Linked DNA regions of Caenorhabditis elegans. Each later gene encodes a partner of the first gene's protein in a complex. Each region holds a gene or a part of one and is shown on either strand. Other genes may lie near its edges.

Region 1 (10,860 bases):
ACCAACTTTTGAAATCGCGATTTTCAATTGTTTGAATTGCCACCTAAATGAGAACTGCGACCAATCAGCGACTCGTTTTTTAATCTTGGATTTTTAATTCTTTCGCGATTTTTTTTTCCTTTTTTTGTGGTATTTCCTAATTTGAGACTAATTCGGTTTCATTGAAGCCATTCACGCTACTGAAAAAAATAATGTGCCTTTAAGTAATCTATCAAAATAAATTTGAAAACTTTTATATTATAATTTACCCTTCATTTCTAGCATCGCTTAGAAGTCTTTGATGATCCGGCATTTTCTTCATATCAGGCCAATCAGCATCTGATGGGTATCCGAGTAGATGGAATATTCTTTAAAAATTTCGAATAGTTAATGATTTTAATTTCCAAAAAATCTGTACCTTTTCACTTGATCATAGTGATATGGATTTTGTGCCTTGATGTCTTCCTCTTTACAGAAAAATAATGGTTCAGCGGTAAGAAGTTCGGCAAAAATGCATCCGATAGCCCATACGTCAATAGCCTGAGATTATGCATTTTTTCCTTATTAAATAGATTTTTCAACGTACCTTTGTATAATGCTTTGCTCCGAGAAGCAATTCAGGTGCTCTGTACCAGAATGTGACAACTACTGGATCTAATTCAGCCATCGGTTTCAGAGGATTTGCATAGATTCTTGAAAATCCCAAATCAGCAATTTTTACCCTAGAATTATTATTTCATATTATCGCATAAATTTCAAATTCAGTCAAACCTTCCTCTCATGTCAGGTGGTCCATCACCCATTAATAGAATATTTGCTGGTTTGAGATCTCGATGTAGTACCCAGTTTGAATGTAAATAATGCATTCCTGAATATTTTAAAATACAGTTGAGTGAAATTGGATTTTAGAATTTCAAACCTGATAAAATTTGAAACAATATATTTTTGACCATATTCCGTGGCACCATAATTGGGACTTTCTTGCTTTTAGCTGTTCGATGATGTTTGATAACGTGCCAGAGATCGTGTTCAGCATAATCCAATAAAAGCCAGACTTTTTTTTCGTTGGTAAGAAATACACGTTGAAGACAGATTAAATTCGGATGCCTGAAACATTTTTTTTTTTTGAATATCTACTTCAGTTTTTTTTTCGAATTTTAGATTATAAAAAGGGGAAAATCTCGAATTCAATCTTCATTTTAAATTAATATTATTTAATCGGTGAAATTACCTTAATTCTCTGAATAGAGCAATTTCTCTGCATGCAGACATTGAAAATCCTTGTCCCTCAATCATTTTTAATGCGTATTCTTTGTTAGGAAATTGTCCATTTTGCTTTTTCGGAACTGCTTTATAAACTAATCCATATGTTCCTCTGCCGATTTCTTTTGAATTTTCAAAGTAGAAAAGGTCTTCTACTCTCTCTCGACGCTGTGCCAATTGTTTTTTGAAGTTTTCATCAATCATTAATCTGCAATAGGGATTTTCTGATTTATTTATAGTGCAAATTTCCAACTTACGTCATTTTTCAGTTACTACAGCGAATACTACTCAGTCTTTATGCCAGGAAAATCGATGTCCAGAAAAACGAAAATTAAAATTGAAGTGTACGGTAAGGAAGTCCGCAAACACTGCACCCACGTACTAAACACCAAATATCACGACATCTTCGTCGGTCTTCGTTTTCTAGCACTTTTTCTTGTGGCAAATTCTCGCCGAACGTCACTTCTTCTTCCCAAAGAACACAGCGTTAAGACTGAAAAATCAATAAATTAACTAATCAATAAATGCCACATGTCTAACAGACAAATAACTAGGAGGAATGCACATTCAGAGAGGATACTCTGGTTTGGCAGCGAATAACGCTTTCAATCGATCCTGTAACCGCGTTTGCCTCAAATCAGTTTAGAATGAACAAACCGAATATTGTATTTTGGATATTATTTTGTCTGAATTTAAAATAAACTGGTCGTCGGAAATAAATATTTCTTAACTTTTCCAGAATTTTCTAACATAAATCAAAAAATTCTTATGTTCTCACGAAGTCTCGCTCTCTCGTTGTTGCAGATTTTAGCATTTGTCGAGTTTTCAAAAGATAACAACTCAAATTTACAGGCCGATCAGTTCAAATGCAAATGGGTGATCATCAAATGATGGGAAACCAGAGGTATGAGTTGAATTAAAAAATAGCTTGTTCAGTTTTAGTTATTTGGATCAAGAAATCCAATAACAACACTCGAAAGATATTACAGAACTTACGTTCAAAAAGTGATGCCTGCACAAGCTGGTGGTGCAGTATCACAAAATGCCACGTATGTGCAAACGGCAGGAATTCGAACGGTTCATCACGACGGAAACGGACAGCAGAGGGTGAGATTTTGAAGAATATAATCAAATTTTGTTCGAGACAAGACATATGCTTGAATTTATGAATTAAAGTTTATTTCAGATAGTTCAACTACCCCCGGGAGTACGTCAGATTCAGCAAAATGGTGTCGGTCCTGCCTATGTTCGCCAAGTTCCTGGTGGTCAACCAATGCAAGTAAACTTTGGACATCCAGTAAGTCTTTATTATCAGTTTCTCAATCAACATAACAAATTCTAAGAATTGAAACAAAATTTCAAATTCACGAAACTATTTTAATTTTTCAAAAGAAATTGCAGGGAACGATAGCGGGTCGAAATGTTGCAGTTGGTGTTCAAATGCGACCTGTGCAAGGACATAACGTTCAACAAGGTTATCAGAGTAAGTTTTTAATTTTATTTAGAAAATTGATAGTCAATATTTAATTGATGTTATTCAAAACAAAATATTTTTTTTTTTAAATCGGTTTTATTTCAATTTATTTACGGTCTCCGGATGCCGTGTGTTTTATCAATAGAATACAAGTACTACGTATATCTAGAATCGCGTATATGTTTCTGCAATAATTAATTGTTTTATTGGAATAATATTCTAGACACAAATTAACTCTACATTTACATTTCGAATAACTCGATTTCTGATTTTTGAACGATTGAAGTTTCACATATTTTCCAAAAGGAAAAATTAAATATTGATTAAATTTTCACTGTTTTTGCAAACAAAAAAAAATCGAAAACAATCAAAATAATTCTGGAAAATTTCAAACTCGTGTGTTGGGTCTCACATTACGTGTTGTATAAGACATTCTTGTTTGAAAAACTGAAAAGAGTTTTAAATTTAATTCCAGGACAGCAAGTAGCAAATCAAATTCAACAACAAAATCGAGCTGTATTTATGGCACAAAATCAGCAAGGACAACAACAGATAAGCTATGCGCAAGCACAACATCGACAACAACAACAGGTATGTTTCATGATTATCATTTACTATCATTTACTATATATAAAGCGCGTGTCCTTCTGTCCCTATGTAGTTTGATCTCTGATCAGAGCAACGAAATTTTGGGAAACCTTATGCTAAATGCGCAACAGACATCGATCGAGGTCCGCGATAGACACCGTATATCTAATGTGTTTTCTCAAAAAAGTCGGGGGCCGCGCCGTAGGTGCGGTCCACGGCTGGTTCAGATATATTCACCAAAATTAATCAGAGGATATTACAGAATCAACAACAACACCACCAGCAACCACAACATTTTAATCATCCTTCTCAACAAAATCAAATGATTATGCAACATCGTCAACCACAAATGCACCATAATCAGCAACATCAAATGGTTCAACCACAAATGACACGTCATCAGATGGCCCAACACCATGCTCAGCAGCCACATCCGCAGATTTATGTGCCGCGTGACATGAATTTGGCAGTGCCACTGAGAGAACCCTCACCTGAGCCGGTAACAGATGAATGTACATTTTCATGTTTCATATCTACATTTTTCAGATTCCTGTCAAAATTGAGGTTCCAGATGTTCCTCCAGAAGGTACATCGGCTGCCAATGAGGAACCAATGCCAGATGATGGTGATATCGATATTCAGGTACTTTCTAACAGCAATCAATCATCAAAACTTGAAAATATTCCAGATTCGAAATGTTGTTTGTAATTATACACTCCCTTTGCACATTGATCTTCGAAAATTGGCAATGAACACTCATAACGTGACATATGAAAGAGAAAAAGGAGTAATGATGAAACAAAAAAGATCGCCTGGTTGTTATATCAAAGTATATAGTTCTGGAAAAGTATATATTGTTGGTTGCCGGAGTGAGGCGGATTGTAAACGAGCTGCACGTTCAATTGCCAGACATGTTCAGCGAGTTATGGGAAAAACGAAAGAACGAGTTTCGATTAGAAATTATCGAGCAAGTTTTGAAAAGTTTCAATTTATCTATTAAAAAAATTTATCTATTAAAAAAAAAATATTTAAAAAAAGTTCGCCTTCAAGAAGTACAGTAGCTTCCGCCATTTCCGATTTGTTTTTTTTTCTTTTAAAGATGTTTCATTTTTGTTAAAGTTATTACTTGTAAATTTAAATTAAATTGAAGAAAAGTGTAAAAATGTCAGTCGTGCAAACTAGTGTACTAAAATTATTTGACCGTGTATCGTAGTTTCACCAGATTTTTACATGCCTTTTTAAAGGCGCACGGATTTATTCAGAAAGGTCTCGGCACGCAAAATGTTTATGGTAATCTTTCTTTTTTTTTTGAAGTTTGAACATTTGGAGAGGCACCACGGTTTCAAGATCTGGTGGGGTTCCGGATCTACGTTTTGGTGCCAGATCTGGAAAACGTAGAACCGGAATCCACCAGATCTTGAAACCGTGGTGCCCCCATTTGGAAACAGATTTTTTAACAGAATTTTTTTTTAAAGCTGAAAACCGTGCAGTTTCATTGAAAAACGCAAACATTGAAGAAAAAGACTACAATAAACTTTTTGCGCGTCGAGACCCATCTGAAGAAAGTCGTGAGCCTTTAAAGAGCCATTTCAAAATTTGAAAAAAAAAATTACGATACCACGTAGAGTCAGGTTGTCCCATCACGGTGTGATCTACAATAAGTGCGGGTATTTTTGCTCAGAAAAGTGTGACGTCAGCACATTCTTAACCGTGCGACACCAGTTGGAAACTCTACGTCACGTTTCATTTTTTGTAGATCAGACTGTGATGGGACATTCTGACACCACGCGCGATACCGTTTTTGTGTGTTTGTCAATACCATAAAATTTTGCAACTTTAAAATATTTATCTAATTATTAAGTTTATGTGGAATTTAGGTGAACAACGTTCTGGCCACGTGCCGTCTTCCATTCGGAATCAAAATCGAAGAAGTCGCAGCAAAATATCCATCAGAATCCACATATGAGCCTGAACTTTCCGTTGGTCTTGTTTGGAGATCTGTGACACCAAAAGCTACTCTTCGAATTCATACGACTGGCTCAATTACAGTCACTGGAGCTCAATCGGAAGCCGATGTTCTCGAAGTACTCTCAAAGATCTATCCAATTGTTCTAGAATTCCGATGTCTCGAACGAGCCAAAGGAAATGTCGCTGCTCAGAAGAAGAGGAAACGAAAGGCACCTGTTAACAGAGGGTAAAAATTTGTAAAATTCTGGCTTCAATGTAAAAATAAAATAATTTTTTAGACCACCAATCAAACGCGAACGCTTTGATGACAGCAATTATAGAAATTCTGGAGTTATCAATAACCAGGTATGCAAATAAAAAGTGTTTCGGTGGTTTGAAAATAATACAAATTTAATTTTAAAATAACACATTTTTCTTTCAGGTCTATTTCTCTGATGAAGATGAAGATCTGTATGATGAGCTCGATTTAGAAGAATAGTTGTACCTAATTGATGCAGCCTACCCATTCATTGTAATTTTTAAAAAATCTCAATTTGCAATCATTATCTGATTACCTTTCTACATCATCTCGTCATAATTTCTCTAGTTTTAGCTTTCTATCTTCCAGTATATCTTGTTCTTTCAATTGTTCTGTGTGCTTCAAAATTCATGCTTTATCCGCTTTTTTCCTGTTCTTTTCTTTCTCTGTTTGCCGTTACCATCATCAACATCATAAGTCATCATCGAATCAACACAATCTCCTATCCATTTTTTTGTAAAATTAACACAATGATCAGAAAAACAATTCTCGCTTCCTTCTAGCTCTTTCTCTCTCCACATCCCACTATGTGCTCTCTACTTCATGTCTTCATCATGTTCCCCTCAAGCCCAGCAAATCTTAATTTTTCCTTATTTTCCATTATCTATTTTTCCTCATGAATCCCAGTTTTAAAAACAAGTAGCAGATTTTTTTTTGTTCTGAAACAATTCGCAAAAATTCCACAAAAAGTCCTTAAAAACAAACGAGTTCGTATTATAAAACTGTAACCTACCTTTTCCCAAAGTTGTTGTATTTCATTTTAATTATTTTAGAATGTGATTTTTCTACAATTCCCTTTTCATGATTCATCCTTTTTCTAGATTTAGTTATTGTCTCCCTTTACCATTTTTCTCGTTTTTGTCCATTAAATATGTTCATGATTAAATTTCAATGTCCGTATCTTTACAGAAGGTTTATGAATTTTTCAAAGTTACGAATTGTCAAAGAAACCAGAAAATCACAAAAAAGATTCAATTGAAAAAATAAAGAATTATTTACTGTCCAGTGTCCTTACGAGCTGTTGCACGGAACGCTCGTTCTTTTTCAAACTGGCGATTATCAGCTCGGTTTAAGAAGTCCATTTTGTTCAGATAACCGCCTTTCCCTCGGTTATGAGATTCCAAATCTTCCTGAAAAACAAACAATTTATTCAAAAACCTTAAACTTAAAGAAACATACTTTTAAATTATTTTGCGTCGTAAAATCTTTCCAATCTCGATCAGATTTCTCCAAAACAGAAATTTTAGAACGCTTCGACAGTGATTTTGCAGCATCAAGCAAGCCGACTCTTTTCTTTCCGGGTACAATGCTACTTTCAGACGATGTTCCAGCTGTTTCCGTTCTGAAAAAAATTATTAGAAAAATAAGAAAAAGTTGTTTTTAAATTTGTATCAAATAAAAACTCATGTCAACTCACTTTTTCGGATAAACCTTCTGATTTGTAGACTCGTTGGATGCAGATCTGTAAAATACATTTTTAAAAGTTATTTCTACTTGTTTCAAACATACGCTGCTGATTTTGGATACACCCTTTCTTCAGTTTTTGGAATATTCTTGCTTGATGTATCGTTGACAACTGGTTTCGGTGCTAGCCCAGTTAATTCTGCAAATATCGCATCCACATCAACACTTCCTTCAGTACTGTTTGCCTTTTCTGATGTATGGTCGTCACTTTGTTTTTCATTTTTCAGATGTTCAACTTCTTCGTCAATTCCATCTTCGCATTCTTCTTGATCATCGATCTGTTGAGGAGAATGAGCAATAAAAGGGCGATATCTAGGAATGCTTACTTCATCCTTTGGATCAAAATCGGTATCCTTTGTTGGATCGTAATCTTCATCGGACGATGAGTTGTAGTCTTCTTCGTTATTTTTAAGCTCCGAGGTCATTTTTCTGAAACAATTTATATTTTAAATAGTTTCACAATTTCAGTGAGAATTCAAAAGAATAAAATATGAATTAATATATTTATAAAATATGAATTAATTTATATTATAATATTATCTCAAAAAAAGTAGCGCGAGATAATTTTTCTTATTGAAGTACGCAATTGTGCGTGGTATTCAGTGTAAAATTCGACGGAGCGCACATGCTTTATGATGACTTAGCCGCCATTTTTGCATTTCATTGTCGAAATTCACTTCCTTTCATTTTTTCAAAGCACTCCCTTCAAAAACTTCATTTATATTGTTTCAGAACCAAAATGAATGCTCACGACGAAGTCCAGCGCACACTGTAAGTCATTAAACCTATATTCGTTTGAATTAACTCAATTTTTCAGGAATCCTACTTGTACCGGAACATCGGTTATCGCTCTCCAGTATAAAACTGGGGTTGTTGTCCTTACTGATCGAGTTGTTTCCTATGGAAAAATGGCTCGTTACAAGGTTTGAATTTCCGTTCAGCTGAAAGTGGATTTTCATAATATTTGTTTCCAGAATGTTTCTCGTCAATACAAGGTCAATGATAATGTTCTCATTGCCTTCGGAGGAGATCACGCTGACTTCCACTGGCTTCAAAATGTGATCGAGCGTCAGGTTCTTCTCTGGAAGCGCTTCGATCAGGATATTGGACCAAAAGCTCTCCACGGATACCTCACAAGCCTTCTCTACGCCAAGTCTGTTTTCCTAATTAAATTGAAAGTTTAAGTAAAAAATTTCAGACGTTGCAAGATGAACCCAGTGTGGAACACACTTGTTGTCGCCGGAGTCGAAGAGGAGGAGAAGAACAACAAGGAGACTAGCACACCTTTCATCGGTGTCATTACTCAGAAGGTAAACTTGAAAGCGTTAACTTGCCGGATCAGAATCTCATGATTAAATAATCACATAATAATTATTCTAAATTTCAGGGATGCGCATATCAAGTGAAGCACATTGCAACTGGACTTGGAGCGTTCCTCCTCAACCAAGCTGTTGAAGATGAGTGGAGAAAGAAGGGAGAAGACCTCTCCCGTGAAGAGGCAGAAGCCGTGCTTCGCAAATCGCTTGAACTTACTCTCTACCACGACTGCGTCGCTGACAATGAGTTCGAAATCGGACGTGTTGATGCGACAGAAGGTGTCGTTTTGGGTAAAGAAGAGAAGATTATTGGTGACTGGTCGATTGCCGAGACTAACTGTCAATATGAATAAGTTTTCCCCGGTGTGCAGGATGCGTTTCAGTATCTCCATGTTTAACTTATTTGTATCCTTCTTTTCAAAACATTTTACTCTCTCCAACCCACGTTTTCGGTGTAAATTTTATTTATTTTCGCGTGAAGTCGATAAATAAACTTCCATTTAATCCTTCTATTCACGTCTAAGTATTCACACGCATCATTTCACAAGTGCTCGAGTCAAAAATAGCGAGCATGAATTTCTCTGGTTTAAAAAGTATGATGAGTTTTTGGTTTAAAGTAAAATCGAGCGCTTTCAGGTAAACTCCAAAAGCTCAGTTTATCACCATCGCCTGATAAACAGAAATCTGATTATGAAAAGAAACAGGCGAAGAAGATGAGCTACAAAAAGAAGATGCAGCAGCGGTATAAACTGAGTGATGATCAGTATGAAACTCACAAGTAATTAAATAAATTGATGTATATGTAATAACTTATCTGATTTGGTTTCCAGGAAGGATGCTCAGAAACAACTGAAAAATTGGGAAGAATTTCGAAAGGAGCAAGTAGTTGAAATCTTTCATACGCAGTCTCAATACGTTTCGAAATCGAAAAATTCAGACGTGGTAAGCATACAGTATATATATATATATATCTCGCCGCGCAAAGGAAGTGCTTAATTACGGTTTTTACTATCCATCTAAAAAGTTAAAAAGAAATACATTATTTCTTGAAATTCAGCGCCATCCAAAGATGCAACGAGCCAATACGGTTGTCAATCGTCAAGGAGTGAAAGTTGATGTAGAATTTGGACGATTGAAAGAATACTACTTATCCACTTTGGCTCCACAAAAAAAGTTTGTGTCGATTCGTGATCACGTAACATAGAGATTATAGAGAAATTTACTTTAACCATGAACTTTAGGCAGCTCGTGAAAAGGAACTGGACGCTCTTCGTAAGAAACAGAAAATCAGTTTGGAGCAAAGGAAAGATAAACAGGACAACATAAAAAAGTCCCAAGCAGAGTACGATCAGATGAAAAGGTTTCAATGGGTCGAATGGTTTTATGTAGAAATTATCATATTTTAGCTTATACGCTGCCCCTGTCGATCCCAAGCAAACAAAAGTGGAAACAATGGAGCAAAAAGAAGTTTTAGAGCCAACAGCCCCGATGGAGAAATTCGGTAAAACTACGAAACAATACAGAAATCGGAGTGTTTATTTTCAGTTGTGAATACCACTGACGACAAAAGAGCCCTGTTCCCAGCCAGTTGGTATCAACAACCGATTTCCCGTTCGCAATTGAAGAAAGGAAAGATGATTTATTGGATGGCAAAAGACGAAGAGTAATTTTCGTGGCTTGCATCCGTTGGATCTTAATATTTGAATTTCAGAGAGGATATGACGTTGGACGATGATCCAGAGGGAAAGTACACGGTTACTGCTGAAAAGTTGATTGAGACAATGACTGCTGGGGGGAAAGTTAAACATGCTGGAATAACAGAACCACCTAGCAACACAGCAAACACCATCATGTCCGAGTCCTTGGCATCAATTAATGCGAGATACAAGAAGAGTTGTGAAAGAAATGCTGTTTTCATGAATACCTTGCACGGTACTATTGAATTCAACAAGAAACAAGTATCTGTAGATAAAACCCTCTCTACAAGTTCAATAAGCCAGGATGATGCGACCGAGTAAGAATTTCGAAACTGATTTTTCTCTAACGAGTTTTATTTTTAGCGCTCCGAATCAAATCATTTTTGCTCCAACAATCACTTCTCATGTTTTCAAAGGCCGATCTCTGAAAAGACAGTATGCAGTGAAAAATAAGGCACTTGAAACTTTTGAGGAAGATCGGAAGGATTACACTCGAGAGGCTGGAGAAGAAACTAGTGGATTGTAATTTTTTGTATTGAACTAGAAAAATAAAGCCTTAATTTCTTTTATCTAACAAACGTTGAAGAAAAAACACATATTTTCACAAATGAATATGCTTATCGATGTATTAAGCTTCGAGGGCAGCGAGTCTCTTCTTTTCGGCAACCTTAGCCTTTGTATCCTTCGAGACATAATTGGCTGGAACAATGTACCCGAAAATGTAGCGACGTCCAATCATTTCTCCGACAAAGAACCAAAAGACTACCTCGAGGGCAACTGCCGAGTAGACGAGACTTTCCTGAAGTTATTTTT
Region 2 (7,229 bases), on another chromosome or scaffold:
TCGGTCTCCAACAACTTCCAAAAGTTGAATGTGAGTCTTAACAACTGCTTTTTCATCGGGAGAGAATGTGACAAGCAGATAATAGTCTTCAGATCGAAGGAACTGAAGAATAATTCGTTGGGCAGGAGCATCACCAAGACATTCCTTTGCAAATGGAAGAAGCTCAGCTTCTTGAACTTCACGAACTGGAAGAGCTTTCACTGATCGTCGATATCGTTCTATCACGAGGGCGACACGAAGTTTTCTAAGATACATTTGAATTGTGTGCGCTGAACATTGACTACTGTAGAGAGCTTTTCCAAAAGCCAGGACATCTTCGTGTTCAGCACCTGAAATATGAATAAGTTTATTTCTTTTATAATTTTGGTAAAAAATAGAGTATTTTTTTAAAATTAATATGCTGGAATTTGAAACGACACAACTCACTGAGAATGTGAACGTTGCAGAGCACTTTTCCACAGAATGAATTCACAGATACCGTCATCATTTCATCCTTTGAAGAGGTATCCGGTAGGAGAGCAAGAGAAAGTGACGGTGCAGAGATTCCAGTCATCTTCACTTCTAATCTTGGTTCAGCAGCTTCAAGGATTCTTCTCAACCGCATCAATCGTTCCTTACATCTGACCACATATGTTTCTGATAATAGTCGATCAATTGACAACATTCCAGCTCCAGAATCAAGTCGTCCGAGCTGAGGAGCATGAGGGAAATGACGAACTTTAAGTCCACCTAGCTTGTCATTTGGATCTTCATAGATCTGAACTCTGTATTGTGCATCACATTTGACTTGTCCTACAGTTAATCTTCGACTCTTCGATCTTTTAACCCAGTATCCAACTACCAAAACTCGTTCTTTTGGGTCATACTTTTCGATTGTAATGTTATCACGTAACCTTCCAGCTGCCAATCTTGAAGTTTGACAAAACAAAACATCCAATTGTAGTGAAACACAGAAACTGTGCAAAAAGGAGAAAGCTTCTTTAATAGGATTTAAGGAAACATTCATCCGAGATTGCAGTACTCCATGAAGCTGATTAAGCTGTAATGGATGTACAAGAGGAAGTCCCATTCCAAGTTCGTAGTCTTCCACGAGAATTTTGATATTCAATAGAGTCCACTTTGTCATTTCTGTTTCACCGAGCAATGTAATCTTGATTTCAAACTCTCCAGGAACCAGTAAAGTTGCAAGTCCATTGTTGATGTGAATTTCTTTTATATTTGGTGGGATTCCGCTTGAAAGTCGAGAAAGCCGACTTTCAATGAGCTGATTTAATCGGGAAGTGACGAGTTTCTGTTCTCTCGGTGTGATCTTTGCTGGAGGAATGAAAGCTTCTTTGATTTTCGATGGCATTCGATTATACGTTCCTAATACAAGAACATCAATAGCTGGCGCAATATGGTATTCTGGAAGACGAGCTAATTCGAGATCTCCCCTAGTCATTGCGACTAATCGATCGGCCGTGTCGATGAAATATTGTGATTGGAGATCGAGAAGGTAGTCGATAGACTGGAAAATTAATGTTTTTTTTTCGATCGAAATCGAGCGAATTAAGCTTACATAACAAACATCCATTCGCTTCGAAATCCGTATCCATTTTACTAATGCTACAAGTTTCAAAAATTGACTGCGAGTAGCGTGTGCAAAATGTACAAGAGACATTTTCCGCTCCTGCTCTCCTTGATCATTTGTCTTCCGCTGCATCAATTCCGCAAGAACTGTGATCTCGTGGTAAACATGTTGAATTGCAAAGTCTAATAGAACATTTAGAGGTATCGTCGGAGGGCCACAATTTGCAGGAACTTCTGGTAAGGGATTTTGCGCTGGTTCTGGAAATTATAGAAAATAAATATCTTCCTTGTTCTACTGCAGCATACCATCTTCGCTATCCGATGAATGAATCGATTTTACATCGACTTCGGAGAGATGTGCCGTTTGTTCCTGAGAAGAATGTACATCGCGGTCTGAAATTCCAGACGACTCATCGAGTGACAAGGCCGAGCCAGATGGAGCCGGTGATATTGGAGCAGCCGGCGAATTATCCGCCAGTGCGGCTCGGAGTTGGGAAGACAGTTTCTGCGAAATACATATTTATTTGAAGAATACACAATATACGGTCTGGGAAGCGACACATTTACAAATTTAAAGTTTATTTACATGTTTCGAATAGTTTTAATCAAACTATAACATTCAAATTGTACAAATATGCATAAAATTAAACAATAAACAGTATTTAATTTATTTTTGAAAATTTGTTTGCAAACTCCACTGAGTGTGCAAATGCGCGTGATGGTGTACTTGCGTACATCGGCAACACATTTGACGACATATCAGAAAGCGGCGCTAAATTAGAAGTTGAGAGCGCGCGAAAAAACAACGCGTTAACCGCCAAGTTTCACTTCCCCACAGAGATTCTCGAGTCATTGTTCAAGTTTATTTGTTTTTCAGCGGTTGTTTTATTGAAAAATTGTAAAATTTTAAACAAAATGTGTAATAGTCTATTAAACCTCGTGAGATATTTGAAGAAACTTTCCCCGTTTTAAATATTTCGTGTATTCGTGCAGATCCGCGTGAAATTTTTGTCTGTTTGCGTAAAATTCCTCTATTTTTTTATTTTTGCTCGCAATTTTCGATTTATTTCAGAAGTTTCCACATTCGCAAAACGAATGGACGTCTCTTATTATGATGGCCCTAAGGATGAAGTCATCGAAGCAATGCTGAAAAGCGCGGTGACGGCCATGAAATTGGGACAATACGAGGATGGAAAAGGACGCTTAGAGGACACAATGGAGTTCGGAACCTCCAATTTTCAACTGCTTGGTACAATCTACATGTATTACGGAAGAGTGTGCAGGCATTTGAACCACGACGCCAAGGCCTTGGAGTTTTTCGAACATGAGTTGAACATGTTCAAGTAAGTGAATTAAACGGAAATGGGCTGGGCATTCTATAACTTTAATTTTTCAGATTGATCTTCAACTACCCAGAAGCATGTGATTCCACACGTCGCATCGTCCAGCAGGCACTCAAAATGGAAAAGTTCTCCAAGGCTCGACGGTTTGCTGAGGATCTCATTGATTACACCAGCAATAAGAAGAACGGAGAGAAGTATATCGGTCAAGCTCGAATTTTGTTCGCTTCCGTGTGCCTCGAAGGATGTGAAAGAGACGTCGAGAGTAATCAAGATGAGAAGAAGAAGCTTTTGTCAATATGTGCTGAACAGATTGCAGCCGTGAAATTGTTCAACGAGAATAATACGGAAGGAGCTGTGTCTGAGACCAAAATTATGCTAATTGAGGCGAAATGCTTGTCACTCGACGAAAAATACGAGGAATCGCGTCGCAAGTATCAAGAATGCATCGATTTTGCCATCAAAACAGACCAGTTTGAAGCAGTTCACATCGCCTATTACGACAAGGCTCTCTATGCTGAGACATATCTTCTTTTCTTTATTATCAGAGATCTCAGGTAATTTTTAGTTTTAACGATTAATAAAAATGTCAATTCTATTTTTACAGAAGTGCTCTCTTCTACGCCACGAAATTCGGAAAAGAGCGAGATGTAGTCAAATATAAGTCGAAGCTATCCGAAGAGATGCTGAGAAATGGCGAATTCCACGAAGCATATCTCTACGGATTGGAAGCGCTTGTATCGATTCGGAAGCTTGGATTGAACGAACACATTGGAGATGTGTTGCTTACAATCGCAAAGTGTCTCATTGCACTTGGAAAAAGACGCCAAGCTGCTTATTTTATCATCTTGGGGAGTGTTCTGACCATCAACCAAAGCAGTTTCAAACTGTTCTACGAGCAGATCGACGTGGCGATGAATCAAGAGAGAAGCGAAACGGCAACTGATCAAGATGCATGCCTCGCAATTGATTCGTCTCCTGATCCGACATCCTCGAATGACATGATTAATAAGTTCGTCGTCAAACTGGAGCACGCAACAAATGTTGAAACCTGGGAAATGATTGTCAACGGAATCATTGAAGACCAGAAGAAACCAGTAGCGATCGAAAAGAAAGAGAACGAGGAACCCGTAGACATGATGGATCTCATTTTCAGTATGAGCTCGCGTATGGATGATCAGAGAACTGAACTGTCTGCTGCCAGATTCATTCCGCGTAAGAAATATTACAAATAAGCGTAAATGTATGCAAATTTATATTTTTCCAGCTCGTCCAGTGTCATCGGCATCGAAAAAGACTACAAAGAGCCACAGAATTCTCCCTGGACTCCGTGCCAATTGGACAAAAGTGCAGTCGATGAAGTTCGATGGTCACACAATGAATAGGATCCTGAAGAGGTCGAAGAAAAGCAAATCGTCATTGGATTCTACAAATTCGATACAGGGCGATGATACTCGAAGCGATGATGTGACAATGACGTCCAAATAGGACCATTATTTTTTCTGTCAAATAATACAATCAAACTTTATTTATTTTTTACTTTCTTTAAGTAAATGTTATTATTATTTTAGTGGTTGTTCTTTATTATAATTTTATTTTATTTGATGGTCAGTAAAGCTAATTTTTTTCAATTAGCGATATCCGTCAAGTCATACTTTTATAGAACTTTGTTATTCTCTCTGAACTTCCCCACGTGCCCTCCCAACGTCATTTCAAAAGCTCATGGTTAGTGACCTCGGAATCCGGAAGATATCGAAAGTAAAGAGACGCAGAGAGATGGAGACTGCCAGCGTCCGAGGGAACGAGCGCCATTCTCCTGCATCCTTTCGTATTCTTCAGTTTTTAGGCGAAACCTAGACCCGAAATGATTTATGTTTTTTCTCCTATTAAAAATACTTTTGAGCGGCTAAATATGATATTACTTGAAATACGTGAACAATTTTTTTGAACGCTCAAATCTCCGACATTGGAGGGCGTAAAGTTTGCAATTCTTAAAACTGTCGTATCGGGTTACCTTTTCTTTTCTCTGACACACTTTTCTTTATTTTTTCATTCAATTGCGTTAGTCTTTTCCTTCTATAAATACTTTTCTTTCAAAAAATATCAGAATCTTGATGGGAAAATGCTCTTCCCATCATATTTGGTCATTTTCGCTGACCGTCTTATCAATAGAAACACGAAATTTCGGAGTATAAGAAGTGTGGTAATCGGTCAGCTTAAAAGAAAATTTGTTTTAGGTAAATATAAACGCGTGATTCCACTGAAAACATGTAATTTGGAGGCGGTGCTCTTTGAATTATGCCTACGCTCTTTACCCAACATTGTAAATATTATTAACTGGTCAGGCACTTTACACAAATCTCTTAATATTTTCACGAAAGTATGGTGATTTTTTCCAATTATAAAATTCCCTTTCTGTTATTCCATTTTTCTACCAGCTTCATCACATTGCATCACTTTTGCGCGCTAGCCGTGCTCCAAATAACCGCCCTCTGTTTCTCATGTGTCTCACCGCGCCTTCTGTTTTTTCTTCTTATTCTGTTTTAGCGAGAAGCAGTTATCTCAAACAACGTCATCTGAGTTTCACCCTCTTGTTGTCCAAGTAGTGAAATCCGATTTTCAACGAATTTCAATTAGTCCTGAGAGCTCTTGAGTTGGCCTGCCGCTTGGGCGGCTCTTCCTTTACGTTGCCGCATTTCTTATCTTCTTCACCACATTATATGTTTGATCGAGGAACATATTTCAATTATTTTTGTTATCACTTGAATTTTCTGATTTTTTGTTTTCAGGCTGTCAGTCGGTTCCCAGCGGATTCGTCGATATACGAAAAATAGTGAGAAGCTCTCGACGACGAGCCAATAATTATGGAAGGGGCTACTACCAAACCGAGTGAGTTGATCGTAAAGTAAAAACCACTTAGTTTTTTTTGGAAAAAACGTAGAAACTATGAAGACCAAATACAATTTAAAATTTTGAACACATACACCGGATCTGTGCGGCAAATTAAAATGTATAAAAAGTTATTTCCATCCGAAAATAATATTTAATTTTGTTGAAAAGCTTGAGAAAAATCTCAAATGGCACCTGAAAGTTGCCGTTTGCCGTTAATAGTTTTTAAAACAATTTTTCGGTAAATTGCAACTTTCAGGTACTATTCGAAGCCTTTTCAAAAATTTTAACAAGATTAAATGTTATTTAGCCCTGACAGGCACCCGAAATTGATAGTTTGGTCGTGACTCTCCAAACTGTTCTGAAGTTTGCAGACGAATGATTTATTAATGATCGACTTTCGGAGAGTGTAACAGATACCAGAAGAAAACCGAAAAAAGTTCATAAAAGAAAAAAAAAGAAGAAAAGATAAATGATTAAACGCTTTTTTGCAGGGCTGGTGCCATCCACGCGTTTTGCGTTGTCCTTGGTCATGTTTTTTGGATGTCTTGTCACCTACATGATGCGTACGAATATGTCGTTCGCAGTTGTTTGTATGGTTAATGAGAATAAGACGGACACAGGAGTGGAGAAGGTCTCTCGTTGTGGAAAGGAAATGACACCTGTGGAGAGCAACAGCTCGGTAGGGTTTATTCAGTGATGAAAAAAAACAATTTGAAAACCGAATGATAAAGAATCATGCAACTTTTTTTAGGTGATTGGAGAATTCGATTGGGACAAGCAAACAACTGGAATGGTTCTTTCATCGTTTTTCTATGGATACATTGGAAGTCAAATTATCGGAGGACATCTAGCTTCACGTTACGGAGGAAAGCGAGTAGTATTCGTGACGATTCTTGGATCTGCGCTCCTTACACTGCTAAATCCTGTCGCTGCCAGAACATCTGAATATGCTCTGGCTATTCTTCGTGCCGCAATCGGATTTCTTCAAGGAGCAACATTCCCTGCAATGCACACAATGTGGTCTGTATGGGGACCACCTCTGGAATTATCTGTCTTAACTGGAGTTACATATGCTGGCGCTCAAATCGGAAATGTAATTGTACTTCCACTCTCTGGATTCCTCTGCGAGTACGGATTTGATGGTGGCTGGCCGTCGATCTTCTACATCATTGGAGTTTTCGGTGTTCTCTGGACTGCTGTTTGGTGGTATGTTAGCTCTGACAAACCAGCTACCCATCCTCGAATTACACCTGAAGAAAAACAATACATCGTAACAGCCGTCGAGGCTTCAATGGGAAAAGATACTGGAAAAGTGCCATCAACTCCATGGATCAAAATTCTAACTTCTCCTGCAGTATGGGCTTGCTGGGCTGGACATTTTGCCGGTGATTGGGGAGCATACACGATGCTTGTATCTCTTCCATCATT

Evidence for each region. Proteins that work in one complex are often made in the same cells at the same time.
Region 2: cdk-8 (region 1) and rgr-1 share a complex: the UniProt entries of both Caenorhabditis elegans proteins name them as parts of the mediator complex.

What each region holds. Positions count from the first base shown.
Region 1 is NC_003279.8:8,693,206-8,704,065, reverse strand, and holds the start of cdk-8 (Cyclin-dependent kinase 8), read right to left. Parts: upstream 1,601-10,860; 5' UTR 1,505-1,600; coding exon 1,500-1,504; intron 1,451-1,499; coding exon 1,211-1,450; intron 1,087-1,210; coding exon 899-1,086; intron 848-898; coding exon 751-847; intron 702-750; coding exon 566-701; intron 520-565; coding exon 398-519; intron 348-397; coding exon 249-347; intron 1-248. Other genes in the region: tlf-1 (TATA box-binding protein-like 1), read left to right, coding at 2,109-2,146, 2,223-2,349, 2,429-2,539, 2,644-2,725, 3,192-3,307, 3,567-3,803, 3,851-3,946, 3,993-4,271 and 3 more; F39H11.1 (Craniofacial development protein 1), read right to left, coding at 6,566-6,700, 6,750-6,912, 6,988-7,032, 7,080-7,312, 7,361-7,459; pbs-7 (Proteasome subunit beta), read left to right, coding at 7,774-7,805, 7,852-7,957, 8,009-8,187, 8,233-8,344, 8,422-8,703; K07A12.5 (Pre-mRNA-splicing factor SYF2), read left to right, coding at 8,922-8,943, 8,987-9,128, 9,181-9,292, 9,408-9,545, 9,592-9,710, 9,757-9,851, 9,896-10,013, 10,062-10,364 and 1 more; asg-1 (putative ATP synthase subunit g 1, mitochondrial), read right to left, coding at 10,676-10,846. UniProt on the Caenorhabditis elegans protein: Component of the Mediator complex, a coactivator involved in regulated gene transcription of nearly all RNA polymerase II-dependent genes.
Region 2 is NC_003281.10:9,388,577-9,395,805, reverse strand, and holds the start of rgr-1 (Mediator of RNA polymerase II transcription subunit 14), read right to left. Parts: upstream 1,703-7,229; coding exon 1,559-1,702; intron 1,508-1,558; coding exon 427-1,507; intron 330-426; coding exon 1-329. Other genes in the region: gpr-2 (G-protein regulator 2), read left to right, coding at 2,665-2,912, 2,966-3,466, 3,517-4,124, 4,177-4,397; putative transporter slc-17.2, read left to right, coding at 5,774-5,798, 6,293-6,480, 6,553-7,229. UniProt on the Caenorhabditis elegans protein: Component of the Mediator complex, a coactivator involved in the regulated transcription of nearly all RNA polymerase II-dependent genes.